2 linked regions of the Oreochromis niloticus genome follow. The protein of the gene in region 1 interacts with the protein of each later gene in a pairwise test. Links are inferred from orthologs where the notes say so. Each region holds a gene or a part of one and is shown in the gene's direction. Other genes may lie near its edges. The genes, in order: protein phosphatase 1 regulatory subunit 3C-B and epm2a.

Region 1 (15,139 bases):
TGCATTTCTAATTCGAAACAAACTGAAGAAGATGTTACGGTTAAGTAATAGGGAAAAAAACCCTGACTCCATTTACACTTGACCATGTGACTGAATTTGAGTCTCAAAATGAAATAAACCAGGACTATTTTTATTCTGGCTCTCATGCAGGTATGCTGTATCTAAGCCTCTTAAACAGAGTCATACATAACCTCAAAACCTGTCAGCATCTTAAGAGAAGTCTGCATCATGTGATGACTGCTGGCTATTAAGTATGCCTGATAGCCTCTCCTGATCCCTTTTTTGTCTGCGTGCCTTACGTGAAGACTAACAGCGCCAGCTGGCAGCCCGGAAATCACACCGGAGCCAAGCGTGTCATAAGCTCTCTCCTGTTTGCTGCTCTCTCTCACTCTGTGGTTGGGAAAGTGTCTCAATCTTCCTGTTATCTTCAGATCTGATGTAATATTGACATTTTGAAATTCTACTGAGATTTCTCCTTTTCTTCCTAAGGGAGAAAATTTACTGTCAGTAGCAGAGAAAAGAAAACAAGGAAACAAGCAAACGTGACTCGTAGTATTGACTGAAGTCATTTATTGCCCTATGGGAATGTCCCCAAGAGGGTTGTCCCCGCGCCCAAATTGCTCTTTGAACTGAACAAGCTTCTCGGATGAGAGGTGAAATGTTTTCAAGAAACTTAAAGAAGTCCAGACGCAGACCAAAGTTTCTTTTAGTTTCTGTTTCAACTCTCAGTATCACGGTGAGTCCACTCAGTTCTGACAGCTCGATTTAGTTCAGTCTGATTCAGCTCACCCAACCCTTCCACCCAATGTACTGTAAAGTGGCTGGTTATGAATACTAAATGACGCTTCAGTGAGTTACCAATACAACTCCAACAGAATGACTGGAATTAAAGTGCTGAACATGAAATCAACTGTCCACAGATTCACAAAGAATAGCGTGCCAGTGAGGAGTACTTGTTTAATGCCACAGTCAAAGTTCCACCCAGTTGACCGCTGTGGGCCATACGTACCTTTGTGCACAAAGAGCCCAGGCACCGTGACACTGACTGACTCAGAACTGGAGGAGGGTTGCAGAGCGGCTTGCAAAGGCCTTTGCAAAACATGTCAAAGTATTCTTGGACAAGAACCGTGAACCCTGAGTTGCATTTTTTGTGTTTAAAAGTGAGCATAGGAAAATATGTGCTCGTAGTAGAAGTGTTACATAAATACCATTTAACTTCCCACAATTAATAGCCTTCATTTTTTTTCTTCAGACTATAACTGCAAACAACTCAAGGAGCCAAATTTGTCAACACAACAATTATGTGACAGCTTTGTCAGTGTTTTGGGGAAGAAGTTTTTTCTCATGATCATTTAGCCTTTTAACATGATTATCTTTACACTGGATAACACATACAGGGAGTGCAGAATTATTAGGCAAATGAGTATTTTGTCCACATCATCCTCTTCATGCATGTTGTCTTACTCCAAGCTGTATAGGCTCGAAAGCCTACTACCAATTAAGCATATTAGATGATGTGCATCTCTGTAATGAGAAGGGGTGTGGTCTAATGACATCAACACCCTATATCAGGTGTGCATAATTATTAGACAACTTCCTTTCCTTTGGCAAAATGGGTCAAAAGAAGGACTTGACAGGCTCAGAAAAGTCAAAAATAGTGAGATATCTTGCAGAGGGATGCAGCAGTCTTAAAATTGCAAAGCTTCTGAAGCGTGATCATCGAACAATCAAGCGTTTCATTCAAAATAGTCAACAGGGTCGCAAGAAGCGTGTGGAAAAACCAAGGCGCAAAATAACTGCCCATGAACTGAGAAAAGTCAAGCGTGCAGCTGCCAAGATGCCACTTGCCACCAGTTTGGCCATATTTCAGAGCTGCAACATCACTGGAGTGCCCAAAAGCACAAGGTGTGCAATACTCAGAGACATGGCCAAGGTAAGAAAGGCTGAAAGACGACCACCACTGAACAAGACACACAAGCTGAAACGTCAAGACTGGGCCAAGAAATATCTCAAGACTGATTTTTCTAAGGTTTTATGGACCGATGAAATGAGAGTGAGTCTTGATGGGGCCAGATGGATGGGCCCGTGGCTGGATTGGTAAAGGGCAGAGAGCTCCAGTCCGACTCAGACGCCAGCAAGGTGGAGGTGGAGTACTGGTTTGGGCTGGTATCATCAAAGATGAGCTTGTGGGGCCTTTTCGGGTTGAGGATGGAGTCAAGCTCAACTCCCAGTCCTACTGCCAGTTTCTGGAAGACACCTTCTTCAAGCAGTGGTACAGGAAGAAGTCTGCATCCTTCAAGAAAAACATGATTTTCATGCAGGACAATGCTCCATCACACGCGTCCAAGTACTCCACAGCGTGGCTGGCAAGAAAGGGTATAAAAGAAGAAAAACTAATGACATGGCCTCCTTGTTCACCTGATCTGAACCCCATTGAGAACCTGTGGTCCATCATCAAATGTGAGATTTACAAGGAGGGAAAACAGTACACCTCTCTGAACAGTGTCTGGGAGGCTGTGGTTGCTGCTGCACGCAATGTTGATGGTGAACAGATCAAAACACTGACAGAATCCATGGATGGCAGGCTTTTGAGTGTCCTTGCAAAGAAAGGTGGCTATATTGGTCGCTGATTTGTTTTTGTTTTGTTTTTGAATGTCAGAAATGTATATTTGTGAATGTGGAGATGTTATATTGGTTTCACTGGTAAAAATAAATCATTGAAATGGGTATATATTTGTTTTTTGTTAAGTTGCCTAATAATTATGCACAGTAATAGTCACCTGCACACACAGATATCCCCCTAAAATAGCTAAAACTACAAACAAACTAAAAACTACTTCCAAAAACATTCAGCTTTGATATTAATGAGTTTTTTGGGTTCATTGAGAAAATGGTTGTTGTTCAATAATAAAATTATTCCTCAAAAATACAACTTGCCTAATAATTCTGCACTCCCTGTACTATTGGAACATAGGAGGGGCATTTGCTACAAATTCAGCTTCGCACACTTAGGTTGAATTCATATTAAACAACATATCTTTAATGTTAAATGACTTGGGTAATCAACATTAATTAACAGATGAAGATCAAAATGAGACCAGAGTGTTGAGCAGTAGTGTGGTATCATCGGAGTCATGTGTCAGGAACGCAGGCCGAGTCCAGTGTTGGTGAAATGTTGCAGCAGCCATAATCAGCTGTGTGTTTGTAACGCCCCTCATTCCTCCTGCCAGAATCATTTCCATCTCTTGCTCACGCTGGAAGCCACAACCAGCCGCTTCTGAACCGTGATTTGAATGCGCTCTGCACCGGTCAACGATCACCACACTGCTACCTGTGAAACTTTGTAGCAGTTTCTTGTGTTTAAGCAGCTGTGACCACAAAATACTCACCTGAAGGAAAGTGGTAATACAGTTGACCCCATCCGCCTCTTTCATAATGTGATTGAACCTAAATTTGAGCTTGTACAGCTGCAGGCTCGCTGTAATATTATTAATTTAATCCTTATTTTCTATTATATCCCAGAGGCCTGAGCTTCAAATGAGGATTTCATCTCAACTTCGGGGTTAACTTTGGCTTTTCAGTGGTTTACTTCAAGACTGTGAACCTAACTTGCTCTGGAGCAGGTAATTTTAGAGAGTAGAAATCACCAATCAGTTCTAATTAAAGCAGCATTGCCGTACCAGGAAGATCCCTCAGACTGCTGAATACACATGACATGAGGGTTTAATAGTGTCTCTGTGTATCCCTGATTAGTAATAAATATAGATTCTTAGATACAACTTTACTCCTTGATTTGATTTTTCCCTGCTGGCAGTAAACTATTTTATTGTTCTATAAGCATGCTAAAATAGAGCAGCTATGTGTACTTGCTGACCTTAGATAAAATTTATTAAAATGTTGCTTATTAATTTACATAAACTAAGCCAGTGTTTGAATTCTGTTTTTATACAGTCCTGATCAAAATTTAAAACTGCTTGAAAAATGGCAAAAAATCATATTTTGTATGGTTGGATCTTAACAAGGTTCCAAGTAGAGCTTCAACAAGCAACAAGAAGAAATGGGAGTGAGACAAAACATTTTTTGAGCATGAAATTTATTGAAAACAACGCTTAAACTGAAACAGGCTGTTTTACAGCTGATCCAACATTTCTTCAAGTGGTGCAGACGGCCGCACGAAGGGCGTCTCCTGTCTGGATCTGTTGTCCGTGTTTGTAATCTTCCCTTGCCATCCATCCCCAAAGGTTCTCAACTGGATTTAGATCCGGGGAACACGCAGGATGATCCAAAAGAGTGATGTTATTCTCCTGGAAGAAGTCCCTTGTCCTGCCGGCATTGTGTACTTTAGCGTTGTCCTGTTGAAAAACCCAGTTGTTACCACACAGACGACGGCCCCCAGTCATGAGGGATGCTCTCTGCAACATCTGGACATAGCCAGCAGCTGTTTGACACCCCTGCACCTCCTGAAGCTCCATTGTTCCACTGAAGGAAAAAGCACCCCAGGCCATTATGGCGCTGCCTCGTCTGTGGGGCATAGAAAACATCTCGGCTGGGATCTGCTCTGCTTGTCATGCCAGTAACACTGGAAACCATCAGGACCATCAAGGTTACATTCTAAAAAATGTAAAAATGTAAAAATTAATTTTTTTAATTTTTATTCAAAAATAAAAAGTAAAAAATAAAAATGACAATGAATCCACATGTTTGCGCAGATTTGGCCTTTTAAAGGCATGTGGTCCTAAACTTTTGATCTGCCACCTGACTAAAGATAACTGATACTAAAGGTAACTGAGCAGCAGCTGAGTTACCTTTAGTCTATTTTGTATATTTGACTTCTTCAGTCTTTTCTAATATCATGTTATGGTAATAACAGATAACGGACAGAAACCTTGAGCATATTGAACTGTCTCCACAGTGCAGGACCCAGAGCTCCAGCTCAGGCATGATCACTGCATGATCATTAGAGTCAAAACATTATGTGCTGCATCGATACCACAAACGGAGCACGCCCAAAGAATGAAGCACATTTGTTTCTCTCTTTTCTTTTGAGTGAAAATATGAATAAAATTTTCTTTGGTTGATGTGGATATAAAAAAAAGTCAGATGTGCTCTTCACACTTTCAGGAAACTTTATAAATAAACCATAATAAAAACTTTATTTAACCTCTTATGCAAACCTGCTATTTGAACTGTTTTCACTGCCTTCTTTATAGCACTTTATTTGGGTTTTTCCATCTGTCACATTTATTTGGATGTTTCTATATAAAGAAATCTATTTTCTGATGCAATCCCGAGGCCGTGTTAATATTGACCTTTAGACAGATAAGGCTGTGATAAGTAGTGTCTGTTGTCTGTAGGCCCATGTGAAAGTGGCGTGGATGTCACTTTGAGTCTAAAGTCTCTCTGCAGGAGACTCAGACGTACACAGGCGGTGTAAAGGGGGGAGACCCCACAGCCTCAGGAGGAATCCTGCCCTCTGACCTGAAGAACACAGGATGACATGCATCGCTCTAACTGGAAACTGTGTCTTCTCTCACACTGTAGCAGGTGTAGTTACAGGTGGATGAAGGCAAGAAGTCAGTCAGATCTTTAATTTTAGGCTCGTTCGGAAGAATCTGGAGAACTGAGGTGGACGGAGCATGTTCAAATAGTTTTTTTTCCCCTAATTTTGGTTTGCTGTGGCCTCGGGAACAAGCAGAGTTTACAAATTTTCACCTTCCTCTCAAATGATAACAAAAAAAAACCAAAACGTGAATAAAGCCATTAGCTGGGGTTTAGCTATTTCTGTGTTTGATAAAAAAATCCTTCTTGATGGGTCTAATCAAACCTTTCAGATGGTAATGTTTAACCCACGGCTGAAAAATCGATAAAACTTTAAAAATAGCATCTCAGTCTAAATGTCTGAAAGTGAAAACAGCAACAACTGTGAGTACGAGGAACCAGAGATACTTTTTGTGAGCCTTTCTCAACACTTCTCTGTCAGTACGATTACACTGAAAGCTACAGTATAAACATGATTCTGCTCTATCCACATTTCATGGCTACACTTTTTAAAACTTTGGTTCCTCATGTCTAAATCAAATGACAATGGTTAGGTTTAGGTGAAGAGTCGAAGCTACGGTGCTGCACGGCATGAACTAACAAACACTGGCATCTTTCAAATTCACTTTCACACTTCTAAACCTGTGATAAGAAAAACAATGTTATTATCTGTAGTTATTCCCAAGCTGCAACCACCCATTTATAGAGACCGTTACAAAAAACTCGGCTGGTCTCTCGGGCTTTCGGCAGGGGAGGTCAGTCTGGGTGACCCAAAACAATAGTCTAAAACAGCAACATGTAAAAGCTCTCAGAGATGTCACAAATGCTGTTTTGGGCAATATTCCTGTTACTGATGACACAAATAGAGTTTACGCCCAAACAAGGCTTACCAGACTTGTGTCGACACAATCAGCTTACGGACATCACAATAACCACACGCGTCACAGTGCTGTGATTTTAATCTTATATTGTTTGTTGTCAGTCTTTTCTTTTCTCTCTTTGCCTTTGCCTCAGGCAAAAAGCCCCGAGCCAAAAATCACCCACTTGCAGGCCTCACCTTGACTAATTCAAGTCACTAAAATCGACCTTGCAACTGTTGGTGCCTCAGGTTTGATGTGTGAAGTTCTTACCTTGCACTAATTATTGTGCCTGTGCAATGTACCCACACAGTCTTTGAATACAGCTTTTCTGTTAGCTGACATTAAGCTACCCTTAAAAAACAACGAACTTCAGAACCACTTGGAAACAGCACTACAGATTTGTCCATCTTTTATACACAGTCTGTTTCAGGCTTTGACATTGTGCTCTCCGATTGAAATTCTGGGTCAAAAGTACCAAACACTGTGAGACGGTGCCTTGCAACAGCACCTTTCCAATTTGTTTGTATTCTGTATTATATAAAAATATATTACAAAGGATCCCTGTGTTGGATTAAACAAGCCAGATATCAGTTTCAAGATTCCTCTCGGTGCATTCGCTCTTACATGAATAACCCTGCTGTGGCGGGTAAAGGGAATCCCAGTCACGATAAGGAGGAGCCACGGGGGATATGCTGCACTCCGCAGTGAGTAATCATCTCTAACACCAGCAGGGGTCCGTCATGTTTCTCATATAGCAGCTGAGGCAACAGGCAGAGGCATCTCAACCATGAGGCCCACGCAGGGCCACACACCCCTATCAGCTGGCTGACAGCCAGGTCAAACTCAAGCTGATTGGCTGGCTTAGATTTCCACTTACTTCCCATTGGTTGTTTCAGGAACCATATGACTGAATATGCTAATTATCTCTATGTGGCAGTTGAAATCCCTGAGTGCAGAGCAGCACAGGCACTGAAAGGCAGGAAGAGAGCGAGACAGTAGGAAGAAAAGGGGGAGTGACTGCAGCATGCACTCTTAGGAAAAGCTGCTCTGCAAACTTCAAAAGTCAAACTGAGAACTTTTAAAAACACTTTTTTCCTTGGAGCCTTCTATTTTTATTCCATGAGTGCTACAAGGTAAGCCTAACTGACAAACAACGAGGAAAACATAAAAGAATCTAGGTTTTGCAAAAGTAGGTCACGCCATCCTTGTGAGGATTAAATAGATGCGTCGCTTTTTTCACTGTGCATAAAGTAAAGCTATTTTGAAACTGGGTGGATTTTACAACCATTTTTGGTGACATGCTAACGAGTTTTATCAAACTAGAGCTGAAAGCTGATAAGTTAAGCGATATTTGTTTGGATTAGCCATCATTCTAATGTCGCCTGTCTTTCTCTTTTCATCTCCCTGAAACTTTCTCTAAATTTCTGAACTTTTATCCTCTCCCTCATCACCTCTCTTTCCCCCTTTTCCCTCCGTCAGTGTGCTCAGATCTTTCAGTCCATCAGCGATGCCCGGCCCAGTAATGCCGATGGATGTGGCTATGCGGTTCTACATCAGCCATTCTCCGCCTCCTCTTCGAGGCTTCCTCAGCCACTATGAGGACCTGCAGAGGGCCAAGAACCGGGTAAACCGGTCCAGCACCCATAACCGCAAACAGCAGCTCTACAAACCTCTGCGACCCTGCCTCAGCAACCAGCAGAAAGATGACAGTAACTGCGTGGGCTGGGACAACAGCAAGGCCGGCAAGAAGCGAGTGGTGTTTGCAGACACAAAGGGCATGTCGCTCACCGCCATCCACGTCTTCTCCAAATTCGATGACGAGCCATATCAAAGCAAGCACCTGGACGCAATCACAGACGAGCTGCAGTTCGACATGACAGACCTTGAAACGGCCACAATGGATCTAAAGATCAGCTCGGTTCGCAGCCTGGCATTAGACTTCAAGCAGCCCTCCGCCGACTACCTGGACTTCCGGAACCGCCTGATCCAGAATTCGGTCTGCTTGGAGAGCTGCTCCCTGCAGGAGCGCTCGCTCACCGGCACCATTAAGGTCAGGAACATCGGGTTTGAGAAGACAGTGCAGGTGCGCGTCACCTACGACTCGTGGGTCAGCTTCACCGACATCGACTGCACCTTCATGAACAACGTGTACAGCTCCCAGGACAACGACACCTTCGCATTCGTCCTGGAGCTGCCCTCCTTCATCCCGCCGCATAATCGGGTCGAGTTCTGCATCTGCTTCAAGACCCAGGGCCAGACCTTCTGGGACAATAATGATGGCAAGAATTATGTGCTCAAGCACATCGGCTGGAACGGAGAGGACCTGCACACTCGGCCCTCCCTCGGTTCTGCTGAGCAGAAAAAGTCCCCAGAGCAGAAAAACGAGGGGGTCAAGTTAGTGGAGCTCGAGTTCGATCAGTTTGGCAGCCCACGCATGTCCAGCGGACTGTTTCCCGGCTGGCAGAGCTGGGGTCAGATCGATAACACAGTGCCTTATTGGTGAAACCTGCAGCATGTTTGCTGAACTGGCAATAAAGCGCAATAAGACAAACAGACGGTGACAGGGCATTCAGTACGAGTCCAGCTGTGGGTTGACTCGCAGCCAGAGACTAAACTGAAGCTGTAATGTTCTCAACTGACCTGGTTTTTGCTGTAACGATTGAGGACGATGATGAATGATTGATGAAATATGAGTGGAGAATGACGAATATTTCGGGTTTCCTGTTGTAAAATATTCATGTGCCTTCTCATTGTGCCTGCCCACTAAAATACAAATTATTTGTACAATCCAAGAGAAATGGGGAGCCCCCTTTTGAGGGCCTGATGGATTGGGTAACATAAGCACTGATTGAGATCTCCCTAATAATGTGATATCTGTAAATGGAGCTGATCAAGTCCTTCATATTGAAGGGGGAAATATGGGGAGTGCATGGCGCAATGATGCTTCTCTACTACAGAAAACACAGTTGATTCATTGCTAATGAAAAATGCACACTAAACGTTTGGACATTAAAAATGGCCTAAACTGTAATATTTAAGTCATGCCGCCCTTTCTTTCCCTCCATGTAAATTGCACATACTTGTCTGCTAAAATGTTTGAGTGGTGATATGATTATGGAACTGAGCTGCTATTGTGTCTCAAGAAAAGTCGCTGCATGTGAGTGGTTGCTTCTAACTGGGAAGAAGTTTGGAAACGTCTGTGGTTCTGGTATGTCAAGAAAGAAATGATGTAAGAGCGAATGTTTGCTTTCAGAAGTGCAATTCTTGAAGATGAGTGTACAGTATGTGTGGCTGGAATCAAGAATTTTCTGTTTTGAAACAGCTTATGTTTTTTCTTCACTGAAGAAAGCTGTGTGCCCGGCATTCTGTGTATCACTTGAAGGCGTGTGTCGCCGACGCGCACCACGTCGTTATGTATTTCCTTTTTGAAATAAATTTCTATATTTGTGCTAAAATGTTACGAGTCCAGACCTGTCTTTGAAATAAACGCTGGTATCTTTGACGTGTGTTCGGGAACAAACATAACCCCAGTAGCTTCTCTGTGGTTTCGTTTACAGTCAGTCTTTCATGCAATTACACTGAAGACTCCTAAAAACAAGGTTTACATGCAAACAAGTATAAAATATAGTCTGCTTGTGAGCGGCATGCACCACAGGAATTCAAACCCTCAGCTCGTCAAAATGATTAATGGGCTGGTTTTAAATATCTCATAAATATTATTAATAGTTTAATACTCTATTCTTCCAATTACATAACTGATGTTTGTAAACACAGCAGCGAAAATAAGCGTGTGTTTACAAACGTTTGAGATGAATAATTTACGTGTGCCTATACCGGGAGTGGGCGGGGCTTTTATTCAATCAAAACAAGAAGGGAAAGTACGGCAAGACTTTATTATATGCAACATTGTAAATAGTCATGCTGAGTTACAGATTTTCTTCTATAGTTTTACTTTAAAAATCCATCTCTGTCACATCAGATGGATTTAACACAGGTCTGAAGAGCCTGAAGGCTTTTAGTCACTGGTATCATGTCCCCTGTATACACTAAAAATCTTCCCATAGATGCAGTTTAGCTAAAGCCGGCTTAATCACAATGACCAGTCAATCCTCACTGATCTACATAATGCATTCGTCCATGCATTATATCATACATGCAAGTTTCAGTTTCAAATAACAGCTTCCTTAATTTGATCAACTGCGTTCAGGACGTGTGACTCGCTTCACTGACTTCAGATGAGTTTCTTGTACATTCGGAGTGACTACAAACAGAACACGCCTCAGCTGCCTGCAGGAATTTGGTCTTTATTTCGCTTCCCTCCTTTCACTTGTCCGTGCGGCTGCTCGTGCTGGATTCATATTCAGCAGGAAGAATGGTGACCGGCTGGCATGCACAAAGGAAAGTCCTCAGGCTGGATCAGGATGAAGCCGGAATATTCTCTCTCTTTATCACGCTTTAACTCTTGGGGTGCATCTTTAGCTTTCATGTGTAGCTTTTACATAAGAAAACTCTCTACTCAAAGCACGATACAGTACCGTGACACACCGTGGATGAAGGCAGTGATGTTTTTATCCCATGACTGTGTTGGTAAAAGCAGTAACTCAGAGCAGATTCAGCTCATCAAATTATTGTTATCCAGTTGTACAACTTATTTTAGCATATCCTCCTCAAAAAGTATCCAAGCGTTCCTCAGACTGTTACTGGAGGCCAAGGTGATCCTATCCGGAGTGAGTTTCTGGTTATACAACATGTTTCTGAAGTGTTCAAGGCCAAATGCTTTACATTTTGTTCTAAATTTAGGAAAAAATGCAGCTTTGTGAAGTGTGAAAAACTCTTTACAAGACGTAGTTTATCAGATTTCTTTAAATCCTTTCTGTTAGTAATGAAACAATCTGAAACAAACTGAGTGGACGTGTGAACTCAAGCCCACTCTGCATGCACATGTACTGTGTGGAGCTTTCGTTTTCTTTGAGCTGGGTGATCTGTGCAGATTTCACTTTGACCTTCACTGCTGCTCCTACATTTCTCACTGTGGGGTTTACGGCATAAAAACTGAAAAGCTGATCCAGTATCAGCTTGAGAAGACGCTTTGATCGTGAAGTCAACCTGGCTTTGGGCTCCAGCTCTCCTCCACCTGCTGGCACGTGGATCCACATTCCTTTTAAACCTGTAATTTCCTGAAGGATCATCACAAAAACTCTTTCTGCCCATCAGCTTTTCATTCCGTTTGTGTACATGTGTAGGTTCCTACGCTCGTTGTCACTGTGTTCCCTTTTATTGCACAGCCTACTCTCATTTCCTTTTCTTCATTTGGTTTTCCTGTTTACATTCCTCTGCACTCTGTCTCGACAGAAGTGGTAAATTCAAGCGAGCAAATGAAAATGAAAGAATTTTTATGAACACCGCATCTGCACTTTATTATGAGTCTTTCTCCATCATTTCTAACTTCTGTGATAAATTTTGACACACAGTTACAGCAGAGCCCAAACAGTAAGTCCAGCTTATAAACCAAATGGCTGCATAACCTCTCTATAACACGTTTATTACCCTTCGGCACTAACTGATTACTCACTACAGCTTTGCATCATAGGTTTCATTGTGAGCGATGTTCTGACTGGACAAAAATCAACCATGTATTCAGGTGCAGGAAAGAGTTGTGATCAGGTAGTGACTTACCTCCCAGAAAATGCAAAGTAGACATCAGAACATGTCAGACAGAATTTGATGTAAAGGGGAAAATGAAGCACCTATAGATTTTTTTATGCATTTTTTGCCAAACAATGATATAACTAAGGGAAGTAGCCTTCAACTGGCAAGGTGTTGTCTCCTTCCTCTTTCTCCTGTTGTCCTCCTCTGCTCTCCGGAGGTCCTCAGTGTCTGTCCTCCTGCCTTCTTTCAAAACATGATACTACTTTCTCACCAAATATTATCATCAGTCTGTTATGATCCAAAAACAAACAAATGTGTTTATTTTGATGAGGAAAAACATCAATACCTGAAGTTTAAAATAAAAGTCCTCATATTTGTATAACCTCCAGTGATGTGGACCCCTGGGCTTGTGCCCAAAATACATCTTGTGCACCAATCAGACATAACATTAGACCACTGATGGGTGATGTCAATAACACGCCTGTCAGTGGGTGGGATATATCAGGGGGGCAAGTGAACATTTTGGCCTCAAGGTTGAGGAGTTTGGTGCAGAAAAATGGGCACGCATAAGGACTTGAGGTAGTTTGATGATGGTCAAACTGTGACGGTCAGCTGATTGGGTTCAATTCAATTTTATTTATACAGCACCAAATCACAACAAAAGTCGCCTCAAGGCGCTTTATATTGTACAGTAGATCGTACAATAATACATACAGAGAAAAACCCAACAATCATATGACCCCCTATGAGCAAGCACTTTGGCGACAGTGGGAAGGAAAAACTCCCTTTTAACAGGAAGAAACCTCCGGCAGAACCAGGCTCAGGGAGGGGCGGGGCCATCTGCTGTGATTGGTTGGGGTGAGAGAAGGAAGACAGGATAAAGACATGCTGTGGAAGAGAGAGAGAGATTAATAACAGATATGATTCGATGCAGAGAGGTCTATTAACACATATAGTGAGTGAGAAAGGTGACTGGAAAGGAAAAACTCAATGCATCATGGGAATCCCCGGCAGCCTACGTCTATTGCAGCATAACTAAGGGAGGATTCAGGGTCACCTGGTCCAGCCCTAACTATATGCTTTAGCACAAAGGAAAGTTTGAAGCCTAATCTTGAAAGTAGAGATAGTGTCTGTCTCCCGAATCCAAACTGGAAGCTGGTTCCACAGAAGAGGGGCCTGAAAACTGAAGGCTCTGCCTCCCATTCTACTTTTAAATACTCTAGGAACAACAAGTAGGCCTGCAGTGTGAGAGCGAAGTGCTCTAATAGGGTGATATGGTACTACAAGGTCATTAAGATAAGATGGGGCCTGATTATTTAAGACCTTGTATGTGAGGAGCAGGATTTTGAATTCAATTCTGGATTTAACAGGAAGCCAATGAAGGGAAGCCAAAACAGGAGAAATCTGCTCTCTCTTTCTAGTCCCTGTCAGGACTCTTGCTGCAGCATTTTGGATTAACTGAAGGCTTTTCAGCGAGTTTTTAGGACATCCTGATAATAATGAATTACAGTAGTCCAGCCTGGAAGTAATAAATGCATGAACTAGTTTTTCAGCGTCACTCTGAGACAGGATATTTCTAATTAGAGATGTTGCACAAATAGAAGAAAGCAGTCTTAAATATTTGTTTAATATGTGCGTTGAAGGACATGTCCTGGTCAAAAATGACTCCAAGGTTCCTCACAGCATGGGTCAGAGCATCTCCAGAACTGCAGCTCTTGTGGGGTGTTCCCAGTCTGCAGTGGTCAAGGAAGGAACAGTGGTGACCCAGCGACAGGGCTCACTGATGCATGTGTGGAGCGAAGGCTAACCTGTGTGGACCGATCCAACAGACGAGCTACTGGAGCTCAAATTGCCAAAAAAGGTCATGCTGGTACTTATAGAAATGTATCAGAGTTCACGGAGCATCACAGTTTGTTGTGTATGGAGCAGCATAGCACCAGATCAGTCAGGGTGCTCATGCTGGCCCCTCTCCACTACCGAAAGCACCAACAATGGGCATGAAAGAATCAGAACTGGACCACGGAGCGATGGAAGAAGGTGGCCCGGTCGGATGAATCACTTTTACGCTGATGGCCAGGTGCGTGTGTGTTGCTTACCTCGAGAACACCTGGCACCAGAATGCACTAGAGCCATCAGAGGCAGTGTGACGGTGTTACCTGGCCTCTTTCAGCAGAATAATGCACCCTGGCACAGAATATTGGTTTAGGAATGGTTTGAGGAGCACAGCAACAAATTTAAGATGTTGACTTAAATCTCGGTCCAATCGAGCATCTGTAGGATGTGCTGGACAAACAAGTCCGATCCACGGAGGCCCCACCACTCAGCTTACAGGACTTCAAAGATCTACAGCACATCTTTAGGGTCTAGTGGAGTCCATGCAACGATGGATCAGGGCTTTTTTGGCAAGAAAACCTTTGTACCAGGTTGGCTTTTAGTGTCAAAGGTGACCATATCTGAGATTTGGATTTACAATGATAGGCTGTATGGGTGTAACACAGATGTTTGCCAGGAAACATATACCCAAGTTTCATTCATTAAAACTGTAGCACAAACCGCTTCCATGGTCTGTTAGTAACCTCACAGCAAATCATTTTGTTTGTCAGATATTTCCATTTAAAATTGAACAAACAGTCAAAGAGTCTGGTTGTCAGTCAGCCTGTGTCTGTCAGAGCAGCCACATCTCTGACTCCAGTATCCAGGTGGTGTTACATCACCATCACCATCACCCCTTTACCGGTTTGATGAAGGGATACCAAAGTGTTTTTGTGTCAGGCTGTAAACATGTTTTTCCTGCTGTAAAGTTGGGCATTTTAACATGGAAGTCAGTGGGGAATGATTCACTTTTAGTGACAGCATCAAGTGGCCACTCAACGAGCTCCAGTTTTGGTCCTCCCACACTTGCGGGAGGACCGGCTTGGAGCAAATATGCGACAGGGCTACTAAACACTTAGTATGAGACGACTCTGTTTCACGAGAATGTACTCTCTGCCAGTGCAGAAGCAGCGTGGGATGTAACGTGTTTTATTATTGCAAGGTTAGAAAACAGCCAGACACATTCATAGGCCTATCTGGAGGTTTCAGCCATTCCTTCC
Region 2 (15,854 bases), on another chromosome or scaffold:
CGTCAACATGTCTCGAAGTGCTCCAGAGGTCTGGTAATGAACTAATCATTTGATTCAGGTGTGTAGAGCTAGGGTGAGATCTAAAACCTGCAGGACACCAGCCCTCGAGGCCTGGAGTTGGAGACCCCTGATTTAGAGTTTATAGCACAGTTGTATAAAATAAAAAGCACCAGTAATTACCAAAATCATTTTTTATGTTTTTGTAATGGTTAGTGCACCAGTATGCACGAGCTGATTCGTAAGTATTGTTATCCATTAATTTTCAAATTTACTGTTTTATAAAAAAGAAGAAGAAATAGTAAAGCTCATTATTTTTTAATTAAGATACCAAATTTTATTATTTACTCGTATTCCTGAACAGAAAAAAAATATGCTTGATTCAAGTCCAATGTGTTGGCTAAAATTTGGGTATAAAAATGTGGACTCACTTTATTTCCCTAATAACAATATAATTCTTAATTTTAAACAACTTTTTGAGAAATTTCTAAAATATTTATTTTGTGTTTTCATGACAGATGGCTTAACAATCATGTTAAGCACTGTACAATATACATTTTTTCACTTTCTTTTTTTATGTGGTTCAGAATTGACTCAAAGGGATCAGCCAAACAGTGTAAAAACGCTGGGAAACAGAAAAATTATCAAAAAAAACCAACCCAGTATGCAGGTACAGACCTGCAGGCAAACCTGACACACTACACAAACTGGCTTTAAAAATAACAACCACAAAGAAGGAAATTTATTCACGACAGAACGGTGGGAACAATCACGCTTTGTGTAAAGCTGTATGTTTTAATTTTCCTTTGCACGCATTACGCATGTGAGCTGTTGTCACTAGACCACATATACATCACTTTATGTGGAACAGAAAGGGGAGTGGACAATTTCAGCTGAACATTAAGACAGTGATTCTCAAAATAAATCTTGGAATTTTGTAAATAAGGACTGTGACTTTAAAGCCTGTAGCTTTTTAAGATTAGCTTTCTTTTATCACAAATCAGATTATTTTCCAGGTGATGCCTGAGGGGGGTGGATATCTTGGAAGAGAAGAAAAACACACCCGAAACAAACATCTTGCCTGACCAGTACTGTTTTCCAGTAATGAGAAACAGATTTAAGGGAAAAAAGCTGTCCAAACCTAACCACTTGTTTCTTGGAAAACTGATTTCAGTTTAACCCTTGTGTGGTGTTCGTATTTTTGTTACTCAGCCAGTGTTCATGGGTCTGGTGGACCCGCTAGCGTTTTGGCTTTCCAATTAACACTATCAAACAATTTTATGTTAAATTACTCAACAGATGTTTACTTCATCCCAATTACGAGCCATGTGAACAGCAAACATGGTTAATTTTTTCCCTTTACCTTTGTTCGATCACATTTATGAATTAATGTGCTTCTCGTTTTTTTAAATAAAATGTTATAAAAAAAATAAAATCAGTTATAATCAAGTGTAAATATCTTTATACCATATTTTGCAGGTTTTGATGGTATATACTGCCTAAAGGGGCAACGGCCTCTAAATGGCATGGGTCTCACAGACCTGAACACCATACAAGGGTTAACAAGCCAATTCCAGTGTAACTGTGGTGTACCTTCTCTGGAAAGGCCTAAAAAGATTACACCAAGACTGCAACTTTGTTCTCCGTTCCAGGCTTTCACTAGCAAAGGCAGACAGACACACTGGAGTGGCTAATTAAAGAATTTACCCATTGCATTAAGTAAAAAAAGACTAATAGTCAGTATGTGGGAGATTAGGTTTGTGCTAACATATGTAGAGGTATAGGAAATGCTACATTTTCCCTCTAAAAGTGTTATGCTGTAATAAAAATGCTTTGTAGTCTGCTATAATCCATCTTAACAGGTGTCTATTCAGTTAATTGAGACATTGAAGTCACATGACAATTCTAGCCCTGTCATAAAGCAGAAATTGTTTATATGCTAATAAACGCAGGTTTGTACAATCTTTGTTAGCTAGCATGAATTTAGCTAAGGTTAGCTGTGCTAGCCAGCAGGACAAAAGTAGCAAACCAACAGGAGGTTCACATTTCTAACCCACTTTATTTTAAATCTAATTCATTATTAACCACTCTCTCGTAAATGCAGTTGTCCTTCATTGTAAGAGGGTACGAAAAAACTTGAATGAGAAAAGCAGAATATGTTGGACCAAAGGTTTTTACTTGACCACAGCAACTGTGGAAAAAGTCCCCTATCATATGAGATCTTTGTTTGCTAACTTTTTCCAGAGTATGTCATAGAGCACTGGAAGGAGGATGATTTTTTTGGATTCCAGTTTTTGAATGCAATAAACCCAAATGGGATCAAGAGGTGCACAGAACTTCCCCCAAATCCCAGTCACAAAGGAGGTGGTGTGGCGGTGACGTGTCATGTGCCAAAGATTAGGAAGAGGGGCAGTTCAGGGTTTGGTAATGCACGGTTATTGCTTTTAGAATAGAATAGAATAATCCTTTAATTGTCCCACAAGGGGAAATTTGGTTGTAACAGCAGCCAGAAAGACACATATACAAACAAACAGTACACAGGACACAGAACAGAAACATACACAATTTTTTCTTACATATTTACATTAAGGACAATGGTTACTATAAACAGAGTACTGTACAGTTATTAAATTAAATATAAATAACTACAGATAAGAGGCAAACCAGGTTGTAGTGCGAATCGGTTGATTAACTTATTGCAGTTACAGCGCAGATGTAAACATCTATGATTGTTGGGAGCAGTTCTGATTGTACAGTCCGACAGCTGCAGGGAGGAAGGACCTGCGGAAACGCTCCTTCATGCATCTAGGATGCAGCAATCTCTCACTGAAGGAGCTCTGCAGTTCAGCAACATTTACATGCATGGGGTGGGAGACTCTGTCCATCAGAGATGTTATTTTGGCCAGAGTCCTTCTGTCTCCCACCACCTGCACTGGGTCCAGGGTGCATCCCAGAACAGAGCTGGCCTTCCTAATGAGTTTATCCAACCTCTTCCTCTCAGCTGCCGATAAACTGCTGCTCCAACATCCCACACTGTTTTTCAGATGTCTTCCAACAGGACGGTAAATACAGAAGATACTAGTGAAAATTTGCATTATGAATGGTTAGGGTTTTTTCAGAAGCATTAGTACAATATCTTTCAATATATTTATTATTACAGCTGCATCTACAGCCTTCTGAGCAGAACCCCATCTTTCTGCCCAGTGACTCTGAGGCAGACTGGCTGCTAGCCAAGCTGTTTATTAAAAGTGCAGATCTACTGGAACATCAAGCAGTCAATCACCTCATGAGCACTCACTATCTGGCAGAGGTCTTTGCTATTGCTACTTTCCGCACCTTCCCTGAGATCCATCCTCTCTACAAGGTAAAATTTGGTGAGATACACTATAAAACCCTTCTATAGTGATGTTTCTATATTACTTATATCATTTTATATCATATAGAGGACTTTACCCTGATCTTTATTCAAATTTTTACTTTGATAATTACTTTCTATGTGTACAGCTACTGATCCCACACTTCTGGTACACTTTGCACATCAATACTGTGTACAACTATTTTTGGACCTGATGGGACTTCAAGCAATGTGTGGATTCTCTTTTTTTATGCAATATATTTAGAAATTTCAACTAACACCTGATTAGCAACAGAGTTTACTTGGATATGAGGGGATAAAAGAGCTCATGAGACGGGGTCTCTCTTCCTGCAGCTCCCTCTGCCTGCCAGAGAACATCACTGCATGAAGACTGCAGTTGATCCCCAACTTCTACTACGCTGTGGAGCATCATCAACAGGTCAGCATTAAATTAAGAGTATGAAAACTGCTACAGTCTGAACTTTTTTTTCAATCATTATATAGTTAACAACAACAGTTGTCTTTAGGCACTTTTATATTGTAAAGTAGCGAGGGTGAAGTAGAGAAGTATGAACTTGATGAAAGACTAGATTTAGAAAGGGCAATAATATGGTGTCACTCGGTGGGGAAAGAAATAAATGGATCATAAAGACAGCCATAAATGGGGTGGGGTGGTATAGGGTGATGGGCTACAAGAGAAAGTAGACAAAAGGTAATTTGTGACAAATGCATGAGGACTAAAGAAATGGGAGGTGCTCAAGCATATAGACGCATAACTGTTATATTAACTTTAATCAAAAAAGAAAGCTTGGTCTTAAAAGCCATTCAAACCCAAAGCGAGAGCTGGTTCCATAGGAGAGGGATCTAATAGCTAAAAGGTCTGACTGCCATTATTCTTTTGCAAACTCTGGTAAACAAATAAATTCTGGATTTAACTGGAAGCCAATGAGTAGAAGCTAATATGGGAGTCTCGGTGAGTACTCTCAGGGCAGTGTTTTGGATCCGCTAAAGGTTTTTCGGAGCGTTTTTAGGACAGCCTGACTCTGAAGAATTATAATAGAGTAGCAAAGGAGTAGTAAACTACTTTGTCACTCAGAGGCAGGATGGCTTCATTTCAGCAATTCACAGTAATACTGGAGGCCATGTCATTCAGGAAATCCATTCAAGCATTACATAAACATCTACAAATTAATTCATTAATAAACAGTCTTGCACATTGTTGGGAGTGTGGTGATTAATTCTTAATTTAAAAATGCTGCAGTGATGTCAGATTCATTGAAAGTCAAACTGTCATGTTTTTGCCAGCTTTGTGAGGAATATAGTGGATTAATACTATCCGTCAGACGGCGACGTGCAAAAAGACACAGAGCTTCAAAAGAGGATCCACCAGATCCATACTTATAGTAGCATACTTATACTGTTGAGGGAGTGATCAAGTTCATCACAATGCTGATCTTCACAGTGACAAGTCAACTCGCTGCAAACAATAATAGACAGGTTGGGCAATGAAATGCATAAAGTGTTTCAATTAAAACATCTTTTATATACAGGTTGTCAATTTTAGATCACATTTTATAGTAAGCTAAATTTAAAGTCCAGAGATTTCCTGATGATTTCCAGAGGAAGCTGTGTGCACAGCTGTGAAGCTTATTTACTCAACACTTCTTTATCTAGCTTGATTACCACTCCTGGGTGTCCAATGGCTCGCTCTTGCTGTGTGTGCAGACAATTTTGGAGACTCTCCCAAATGTTGGAGAGACAGTGGAGTTTGCAGGAATGGCTCGACATCTCTCTCAGAAGTGCACTAATGTATTAAGTTTTACATTTTATCAATCCATGATGCACAACCCTCACTAGCCCCTCCCCCCAAAATCACCACCTCCAAAGAAAAAAAAGTAAAACAACATATACATATATATATACATATATATATTTTTTTAATCACGGTTCTGGTCACAATTCTTAACTGAAACTCCTTCATCCATGGACACTTATTGCTTATTGTGAAAGCTTATTGCTTTCACTAATAAGCCCAGACATGAAGGTAAGACCAGATGTTTGGTATTTGTACAAACTGAGGTCCCTGATCAAAGGCCAAAACTGTGAAGTAGAGAATGGCCAGATGTAACAAAAAGGTTTTGTAATTCAGGTTTTTAAAGATCATATCACTAAATCGGTTGTCCTTTTTTCATTACTTTACAGGTTCTCGTGGGTCAGTGCGCTGAAGAGCGATTTGATGAGTTTGCCCTAAAGCAAATGATTAAGGAGTTTCAAGCCCAGCTGTACAAACTCAGTGAAGCAATTACAGGAAGAAACTCTCAGCTTGAAGTACCCTCCACATATCTGAACCTGATTAAAATAGAGAACAGCATAACTATTTAAGAAAGGTGTCAGCTGGCAGCACCAGGCTAACCTGCATGGTAGGAGGTTAATTCATACAACGGATGCCTGACAAGGTATTTTAGTACTAGAACAGTTTTTTGGTTGTAACCGAAAAACTTTTAGTGTTTTTATTGAATAGTTACAGGCTTTTACACTTTTTTTAAACCTTACATTCATGTGGAAAGAAGAGCAACAGATTTGTGGAAGGTGGATTATTCTAATGTGGTATTGTCACGGCTGCGGGAGCAGACACGTGGAGTGGTGAGAGAAAGGACCCAAGTGCAGGCATTTGGACCGCAGAGCTTTATTTACAGTGGGGAAAACGAAATACAAGCAAGAGCTAAACATGGCAGTGACTAAACTAAAACAAAACCTAAACTGGGTGAAACTAAAAAATGATACAAAGGAACAAAAGCCTGGGACTAGAAACCCAGGACATGAAACATAAAAACCTGAGACAGAGGAAGACACAGGGCTTAAATACACAGGCAGGACAACGAGCGATTGGGGAACAAGGTGGCAACACAGCCGGGACAAATCAGACATAACAAGACAAAGGAAGCAAAGCAGAATACCCAGACATAAGACAAGGACTTTCAAAGTAAAACAGGAAGCACAAGACATTCGCAGACTCAGAGACACAGACTTGACATGACTGACTGGATATGAAACATAGAACACAGGGAAGACACAGTTACTGAAACCAGGAGCTGGAACTACAAATATAACATGAACAGAAAACCATCAACAAAACCAAAGCCATGAATAACAAATAATCATGGAATATAACTTAAACACAAAAGCCATGACAGGTATAGTGAAAAACATGAATTCTCCAGAGGGATTGTGTTTAGAGTCTCTTGATTATACAAACTGATCCTTGCCACCAATTGCACGCATGTCCATATACTGCGGATGCTCACATTAGAGGAGTTGGTCACTTCTAAAGTGCAGTATTAGAAACACAGTGCATGTACAGCATATAGCATGCATGGTGGCAGTGTACAACAATTATTCAGCTTTAACTGATCAAATGGTGAACTGCATGTACGGATCATAATTTCATCCGGTCAGATGAGTGGCAAATTCTGTGCATGATGGCCTAAATTCTACTGACAAGAGAGCACATCCACAAGTCAAAAATGAGCAGATCTAATAAGGGAAAAACAAGTAATCTAACAAACTGAATACTATGTAAGTGCAGATTTTACACATGCTCAAGAGACGGCTAAAGAAGAATCAATACAGTTTATAAGGTTGACCCTCTTTATTTGAAATCGAAGCTAGTTGTGCAGTCTTAGAGGCAGCTGTTCTCTAGAGGCAGGTAAAGGGCAGGATTCATCTAGAAAAGTGCTGCTTTATTAAAATTCTTCTACTTTAAAAGATGTGTGTAGAAGAACACAAATCACCATTTAGGGTCGAGTCAGGTCCTGAGCATACCTCTGTTAATTAAGTTACTGTGCCGTGTGATTAATGCACACATTGCTGGTGTCGTTTTCTGCTGCAGGATTTGTTCAAGTTTCTGTTATTGCCTAATCTCTGAGTAGAAATGTGATTAAAACCCTGAAGCACTGCAAACCTATCGGCTCACTGCAACACAGAACCTGGCTGCCTAACACGCATCCTTGCTTTTCTTTGGATTCTCCTCCTTCTCGTGCACCACATTACTTCTACTCTGTATAAAACCAGCATTTTGTCATTCTTCTTATTTTTGTTATTATTACTGAGGACCAGAAATATTTGGATCTCAGCCCTATACATGCAGGGTGATTCTGAAGGATTAGAGGACAGAGCCCAAGTTTTGGCATGTGTTTGTTCTGGTAATACCTTCTCTCATTCCAAATAAATGAAAACACCTAATGGCAACAATCACAACCACACCAAACAGCTTAAGATGTGTTTAATTTTTTTTTTTTTTTTTTTTTTTTTACCAGATTAGCTAAATGTAAATATTTTATTTCTTTACTTGGAGAGCAGGTATGGTGGAGCATCACTGTGGTGACCTCTAGAAGCACTACATGTTTAAATGTAAGCATACAGTAAATATCCACCAAAGTTTTGAAGGTCAACTTAATAATTTATGGATTAAAAACTGACAAAAAAACCTGAGAACTTACCATTACCAGTGTGGTGGTTTTGTCTACACATAAAATGTACTATATAAAAATGTTAAATATTGTGTCAAGTTTGACCTCTGACTTGTTCTCGGTCAATAGCTGATCTGAAGGCCAAAGTGATGATAAAGCTATGTAGAGCTATTTAAAACTATGTTTCTCACTGCCAATGTTTGTGCTGACAAACTACAAGCATAGAGGGAATCCTATTCTAAATATTGTTTTTAAATATCACATTACTTTGTGCTTCTTCTTTTTTTACCTGTTTTTCAAGTTCGAATGAGGTCAAACAAATTTTATTTTTAAAGCTGTACTTAAAATTCAAGTGCCACATTTAGAAAATTATACTGGTATCTGGGTTTTCTAAATATCACGTTATAGTTTGCAAAAAAAATCATGTCACATTTGACCTCTGATCTCACTTTCGCACTTCACGTCTGCCTTTCTTTCAAATCTAAAAATCTTTAGTTAAAAGTATTGTCAAGAGAAATATAATGAGCTGCCTACAGTAGTTAGAAATGCACTGTTATATAATATTATATAATAAACTTAAGTTATTAGTGTCCAGTTATTTATTAAGCAATAGATGTTATCCATCTGTCATGCTTCCTTTTTTATTGCACTACAAAAGTACGTAAAAAAAAGAAAGAAAAGAAAATGAATGTATAGAAAATATAATACTTTTCCCTTAAGAGTAGATGCTGCCCAGAGAGTAATGTGTTTTCTGAAGCGCAGTATTTTGAGCTGTCCAGTCTCACGTGGCTTCTGCAAGGTGCCCGATAATCCTGGCAGAGTGGGACCTCATTCTCTTTCTCTTGTCTTTGCTGCAAACTGAACTATCCAACTGCACCCGGTTATTTTTAGGCTACACCATACAGTCACAGCGTCGCGAATGTAACGCAATAGCTGCTATAACATTATAGGCCATAATAACCCATAAGGTCGCCATACCAATCGGCTGAACAGATTTAGGCAAGCCTGCGGTCATGTTGTTTAGATTCGGCGTCATTCTCACTCCGGAGTCCTCGGAGGTCGACGTCTTTGTTTTGGGTTCGCGTGCTGAAATGGGGAACTGGGACCCGAACAGAGCGGTTCGGATGAAAGCCACACAGAAACTCCCGTCACCCGCAGAACCGTGTCTGTGGATCGGTGAGGTGCACCTAGCCGAGCCCCACAGAGACACACTGTGGTTCAAGTTCATCCAAAGAGTCAGAGGCACCTTTATCTGGGAAGGTACCTGTGCACTTCTGGTTTAATGTGCATCACATCTGGTTCACACGTAGACGCTTTTCCAAACGTCTCACAGATTTGCTGTAATTATTCTAAGGTTAGCGGGGAGAGACATAAATATGACTGCGCCATGTTTGGTTGCTATAGTGCAATGTTTTCATAGTGCCACATGATGGCGGTAAGTGACACTAAATGTTCAGTGGCTAACAAATTGCATTGTATCTGCAAACCTAAAAAAGTTTAATATTTCTGAAAAATCCGAAAAAACTATTGAGTCTTTTATTTTAAATTAACAGTTGAAATTCAGCATGTGAATATAACGGTTTACAGTTAGAGTTCAGCATTTATACTTCATCATCTGCACCCAGGAATGAATGCACAGTAATGCAATGCTGGATTCCTCTGAAAGTTTCTTTAACATGCAAGCCATATTTAATTTTATGATATTTTTGATGTAATATAAATGGATAAAAGGATTCTCATTTGAAATTAGTCATATGGTCTTAATGTTGGACACAGGGGCGTAATTTCCAGGGGGTTAGGGGGTTATGACCCCCCCCCCCCCAATAATCAGACCCAACCAATATACCCCCCCCCCCCCCCCCCCAATAAAATTATGAATTATCTTGCATAAATAGGCTGTTGATTTTCTTTACTCGTTTCAGGTATTACCAGCAAAATAGTTGCATGTTTAATCATCTAGGAATCTATCTATTTATTTAGACAGAGATCTTGACCCACCCAATGTTCAGCACAAAGTTACGCCAATGGTTGGACAGTTTATAACAAGGGTGTCAAACATAAGGCCCCGGGGCCAGAATCAGCCCGGTGAATACTCCAATCTGCCCCACTGGATAGCTTTAGAATATAAGAAGCAGGGCGTAAATTTTTGACTTTTTTTTTCTATCCTTATAAGTTTTACAACTTCTCCTGTTGATAAAGAATTCCCCCCCCAGTGGCTATTTATAGTACATCACAGAAATTAAGTTATTTAACAGTTAAATAACTGAAAAGTGCCTGTTTTTTGTTTGTTTGTTTACAATCTACTATAGAAATGTATGTTTTTTACAATGGTCCCAGAAAACTGAAACTCATTTCTATTTTTATGTAATTTGACATATTTTTGTCATACAGTTTAAATCATGCTGACACATTTCTTTTTCATTTACTACAACACCATTTCTTTATCATGTAGAAAAACTGAGAAATACTGTTGAAATCTGTTTCATATTTCAAGACATCTCAGCTAAACTTTACACTGGGCCACATGTGACACACTGTTGAAAATGAGTTTGACGTCCCTGATTTATGTGCATTAACCTGCTTGTCATCTTTGTCACCAGGAAGCGGGCCAAGCCATGACAGATGGTGTACATATGATGATAAGAATGTGGTGGACGGCGTGTATTGCCACCCGATCGGCCACTGGATAGAAGAAACAGGGCACACAGATGAGATGAGGCACACCACCAACTTTTATTTCAGTGTGGCTGGTCAGAAGGCCATGCATTTCTCCAGGTAATACAGTACATATACATGCTTTCTGCATGATGTTCTAATCAAGGGAGCCTTAATATAAGATAATTTGCAGTGTTGTGCGTTCGTACACTTCTCACAATTTCGGTAAAGAAAGTTTTTTGCACTTTTACTAAGTAATTCTTTGATGATCACAGTTCAGTGGGTTAGGAAAGGCTGGTTTTATTTTATTTTATTTTATTTATTTATTTTGGTGATTGATGTTTGTGACAGAAGGATAGCAGCGAGACTGAAAGGGAACATTTACAAGATGGTAGTGAGACCTGCTGTGATGTATGGTTTAGAGATGGTCGCACTGACAAATTGACAGGAGGCCAAGCTGGAGGTGGCAAAGATGAAGATACTAAGATTTTCATTAAGAGTGACCAGGATGGACAGAAGTGGAAATCAGTATATCAGAGGGTCAGCTCTGGTTAAGCAGTTTGAACACAAAGTTAGAGAGGCAAGGCTGAGGTGGTTTGGACGTGAGCAGACGAGGGATAGTGGACAAAGAATGGTGAATATGGGGCTGCCAAACTGACCACAGATGTTGAAGTAAAGGTGAAGGATGCTAGCAATAAGGTCAGATGGACACAATTGGTCCATCTGGAGGAACTATTACCCAGTAATGTATCTAAATGTTAATTATTAAGCAAGAAGCTAATAAATAGCTCTTTAATCACCATTTTAAAACACATTTCTTTTACTCTGTGTTGCATCTTTTCTCTATAATTGTTACATCTGAGAAATCAACTGTGGCAGCTTTGAAATTAATAATAAATTTTATTTGTAAAGCACAAAAATGGGCATTTCTATTAAAATAACCCACTTGACTCAAGTGCAACATCAAACTAAGATTAAGAAGCAATGTGATTCCATTGTAATTATATCGTTAACATAGAAATTAACGATATAAGTTAAGCTAAGAATGACAAAAAATCTGAAATCTACATTAGAAGATGGTCAAACAAGATTTTAAAAAAACAAGCCTTACAATATAAATGGAACAGTGATTTAAAGAAGCCACAGATGAGGCGATGCGTATTTCCTCAGACAGGTCATTCCACTTCTGAGGAGCTCTAACAGCAAACGCCTCCTTTCTCTTTAAGCATAAAGTGAGAACAGTTAACAGGTTTCTGTCTGAGGAGCTAAAGAACAAGCCTGTTGGATATTTTCATAACATGTCATGGTTGTCAGTGGGTGACAGGTCTGGGCTGCAGGTAGGTTAGTTTAGCGCCCCAGACCCTTTTGATACGGAGCTTCCTTCTCTGAAAATGGTGTTATTGGGATGACAGCGAATGTTGATCCAACTATGTAACTCATGAGGCAAAAGCCAGCTCAAGCCAGCAGTAAAGAAAAAAAAGTATAGCAAAGTCAATCTGGCAACCTAATGGAAAATAGGGTGTAGTTTATAACTTAATAACCTGAGGTGTAGAGGTGCTAGTACACACATCTTGTTACCCTCGGAAAGAGCCTGAGAGTCACCTGTGGTCCATCTGCGTTTCAAACAAGTCTCACCTCACTGAAAGTAGCTCCATGTTTAATATACAGATGTGGGAATGATTTATATATCTGTTCTGCAAACTCTCTGCAAGTAAGTGAATAAAACATCTTCTCAGAAATATAGAAGTATTCCTTTGGGGGGTTCTTTGTGATTTTTAGCCATTTGGACATTAATATATTCTTTACACCATGTCTAAAACTTCCAGATTGCCACTCGTGTTGTAGCCTGGAGCATATACAAATGGAGATCCACCCCACCGCTCACTCCCAACACCACACTTCCTCTTCAGCCACATACGCACACACACATGCATACACGTAATAATGAAATGCAATGGTTTTTTAATCTTTTCTGCAATATTTGCCTAATAATGCAATAAAAATTAGTTAGCTCCTCTGGGGGAAATTAATATCTATATGATTGTTTCTTTGTTTCAGAATTAAGTTTTGGTAATGTTGCCTTCTTTTGTCGGTCTGCAGTTTTAAGAGAAGCCAAAACAAGGCCAAAAAGAAAAAGGTGGGAGGTCCCTCTGCTGCAAACTGAGCCTTGGATATTATAACTCTGTGGCATGTGTCTTAAAAATTATGCCCTCAAATAGTTACTTGAACAACCTTGAGAATTGCATCACCCTGTCTTCTTACACTTTTCCTACAGTTTTCAAACTTAAGCATATTCAGTAACGAGCCTTGTGCTTTCATCTGTATTGTCCATGAACGCCTAATTTCTTCTCCATTCTGACACTAAAACGTCAGAGAAGATTTTTTCGAAGTACTTCAGCATTAGTCATGTCACAGTACCCTTTCTTCCTGATAGTTGTTGAGTTTAAAAACCTTCATTCTTTACAGGACAGACAAAGCCTGGTTCTCGTCTTTGTTTTTTAACCTTGCCGTTCCTCATTTAGTTATAACTGCTCTGTCACTTTTAAAATGATTGCCCATAAAAAAGGTAGACCACTAGCAGTTGTATTATCACCTCCTTAACCTTGCTTGGGTTCTTAAGAGAGAGGAGATGGCATCGTTCAGAATTCATTTGGATTTCTAAGGCAATTCATACAGCGCCGGCTACTTGACTGATATGTTATTCTCTTGCATTACTTAAACTGGATTTCAAGATGGTTTAAAACTGTCAAAGTGTAAAAGATGAACTTTTAAGTACAAGTGTATTGTTAAACATATGTATATTAAGAAAGTTAATCTTATAGTGTTGACTTACTATCCTTTCTTGGGTCAAAATAGGTGCAAATAAGATTCCAACACCTGTTGTCAGAACATTTTCTGTCTTTTGCTACTCATTTCATGTTCAGGTTGTAGCCAGTGAAAATGAAACTTCTGTAGATGTCCTTTGCCTAAGAGCTGGTGCCATAAAAAATATTATAAAATTATATAATAAAAGTTATTTTAGATAGTTTGAAGGATGTGCAGTACTGTGCGAAAGTCTTGAGGCATCCTTCATTTCTTTATATTTTGCTTACAAGGAGCCAGACCCTCGTGTCAGGTCAGTGTTAAGCCTCTTAACACTGACCTATGAATCATTCAAGCATAAAAAGGGCACCTAACTCAGGGGATGAACCAGTCTTGTATGTCTCCTTCAGAAATCTGAGGAAACTGGATTAGAGAATGACGAAAAAAACAAGTGGCAGACCTAAAAAATAAAAAAAACCCTGATGAACAGTATCTGAAAGTCACGTTCTTAAGAAAAATCCAGCACACACCTGTCAAAGGCCCTAAGAAATGCACGAGGCCCAACAGTTGATCTATCGACTGTTAACTGAAGGCTTCTTAAAGATGGTCTTAATAGAAGGGTGGCCATCAAGAAGGGAAAATGAAGTTAAAGCTGAGGTATGGCAAATTACAGTCAGTGGCAACAGGTCCCGTGGAGTGATGGATCCAAATGTGAAATGGTTTTCTTTGTTGGTTGTTGGGAATCTTATCAACATTGATGGAATTATGAATGCAGGAAACTACCATCAGATCTTTATCCATCATACAATATCATCTGGAAAGCATCTAATGAGCAGCAGTTTCATTTTTCAGCATGCCAATGGTCCCAACCCCACTGCCAATGCAGTAAAAGCATACCTGGATAGAAAGAGACACAAAAAAAGACTATCAGCCATGGATTGGCCTCCCCAGAACACTGCATATCCACATAACTGCAGCAATCTTGAATCATCTTGACAGAGAATGGAACAAAAGGTTGCCACATCCATAAAATCCAAACTCTGTTTCTGCCTTATTTGCTGTATTTCCATGTATGTTTAGCATTTCAATAAAACTCCGCAACCATTTCCCATTTTCCCAGCAAAATACGAAGAAACCTGGGGTAGCTCAAGACCTTTTTTTTACAGTACCGTATGTCCATGTTTCAATGAAGGCTACATATTGGTCTTAAATCGCAGAGACCAAGTAGTTACACAGCCTACCGGTGCATGCCCTCCTTTTGTAAGGCACAGACTCGGTGCCATGGCATACCAGGCACTTCAGAAATTAGCCCCAGACCCCTGAGGCAGCAAGCACATAACTTGCATAAGAATGAGCTGGCTTGGCTTGTGCCATCAGGTTTTAATTTGTGTCCGAAGACCTTACAAGGCTTATGTCAAGGACCTGTGTTCAATAGGAAGCACTGTGCCTTTGTATCTTCCCTGTTAATAGCTTTTTAAATTAGTCTCTCAGACCTTGCATCCATATAGCCCAAAGTGTTACACACACTCTGCAGTAAGTCATTATAACATTCGCGGGGAGACCACTCACTTTGTAGCTGGTAAGTCATCTGTCAAGCTCATATTTAGAGAGAAGGCCCAAGGCTTACTCAGCCTTTTTTTATGATGTTTATCATTTTTATTTCAACAGATTGAGACATTTGTTTTTCAGTTTGATTCACAACTAAAGACCAGAGGCAAAAATGGCATCTTTCTCATAAGATAGGATATTCCTGCACTTTTAAGTGTATGAGATCATGAAAAGGAAAAAAAAATAAACTCTTAGAATCGTTCAGTGCATCTTTTGTTTCCATTTTAAAATAAACTAGTAGGCAAAAACGCTAGACACATTAGAAAGGTAACAAGAAATAAGGTTATACGCAACTTGTTGTTTTTCAGTTTATATTGGCTGCTTGGTTCATATAATAAGAGTCCTTCCATCCATCTGTTTTCTTAACCACTTATCAAGGGTCATAGGAGGGCTCCAGCCTATTTCAGCAATTGTCAACTGGTAACCAGTCCAACACTGGGGTAATAGAGAGGGGCAATTTATGCATTTAGAATTGCTAATTTGTACCATAGACAGTACTATGAGAGGAAGGCACAGTGGAAACAACCAGACTCCACACAATTCATCCACATATGACATATCACTAAACGGTGATATGATGAGGTTTGTGGGGAGGGAAAAACAGAGGTGAACAGGTGACAGGAAGTTAAGCTCCAGATACTTCCACTGCAGAGCTGCTCTGGGACGTTAGGTATTAAAGGTGTCGCCTTTGTTTTGCCTGTCACGTCCTAGTTGTTGACTTTATGCATGCTAATGAACACCAGCGGAGTCTGCCTCAAACCAGAGTGGTCGGGAAGAAAATTAGGGGGATGAGGGGTCAATAAAGCATCATGAGGAACAGTGTGAAGAAGGTAAGACAATGACACATAAGTGAACCACTTTTGCTTACTGTTGACCTATAAGGGTCAGCTTTGTTCTGATAGCTCTGTCATTATTGCTTTGCTTATAGGAGCACCTTGAAAGTCCTAGTCCTACCTATTTCACTGTCA

What was found.
Region 2: the proteins of protein phosphatase 1 regulatory subunit 3C-B (region 1) and epm2a interact in binary tests that used the Homo sapiens proteins (3 or more experiments, as listed by UniProt). The link is inferred for Oreochromis niloticus from reciprocal best matches to the Homo sapiens genes PPP1R3C and EPM2A.

Annotation. Positions count from the first base shown.
Region 1 is NC_031978.2:881,454-896,592, reverse strand, and holds protein phosphatase 1 regulatory subunit 3C-B, read left to right. Parts: upstream 1-7,368; 5' UTR 7,369-7,517; coding exon 7,518-7,531; intron 7,532-7,877; coding exon 7,878-8,901; 3' UTR 8,902-9,779; downstream 9,780-15,139.
Region 2 is NC_031980.2:11,214,127-11,229,980, forward strand, and holds the start of epm2a (laforin), read left to right. Parts: upstream 1-8,607; 5' UTR 8,608-8,834; coding exon 8,835-9,081; intron 9,082-10,421; coding exon 10,422-10,596; intron 10,597-15,854. UniProt on the Homo sapiens protein: Plays an important role in preventing glycogen hyperphosphorylation and the formation of insoluble aggregates, via its activity as glycogen phosphatase, and by promoting the ubiquitination of proteins involved in glycogen metabolism via its interaction with the E3 ubiquitin ligase NHLRC1/malin.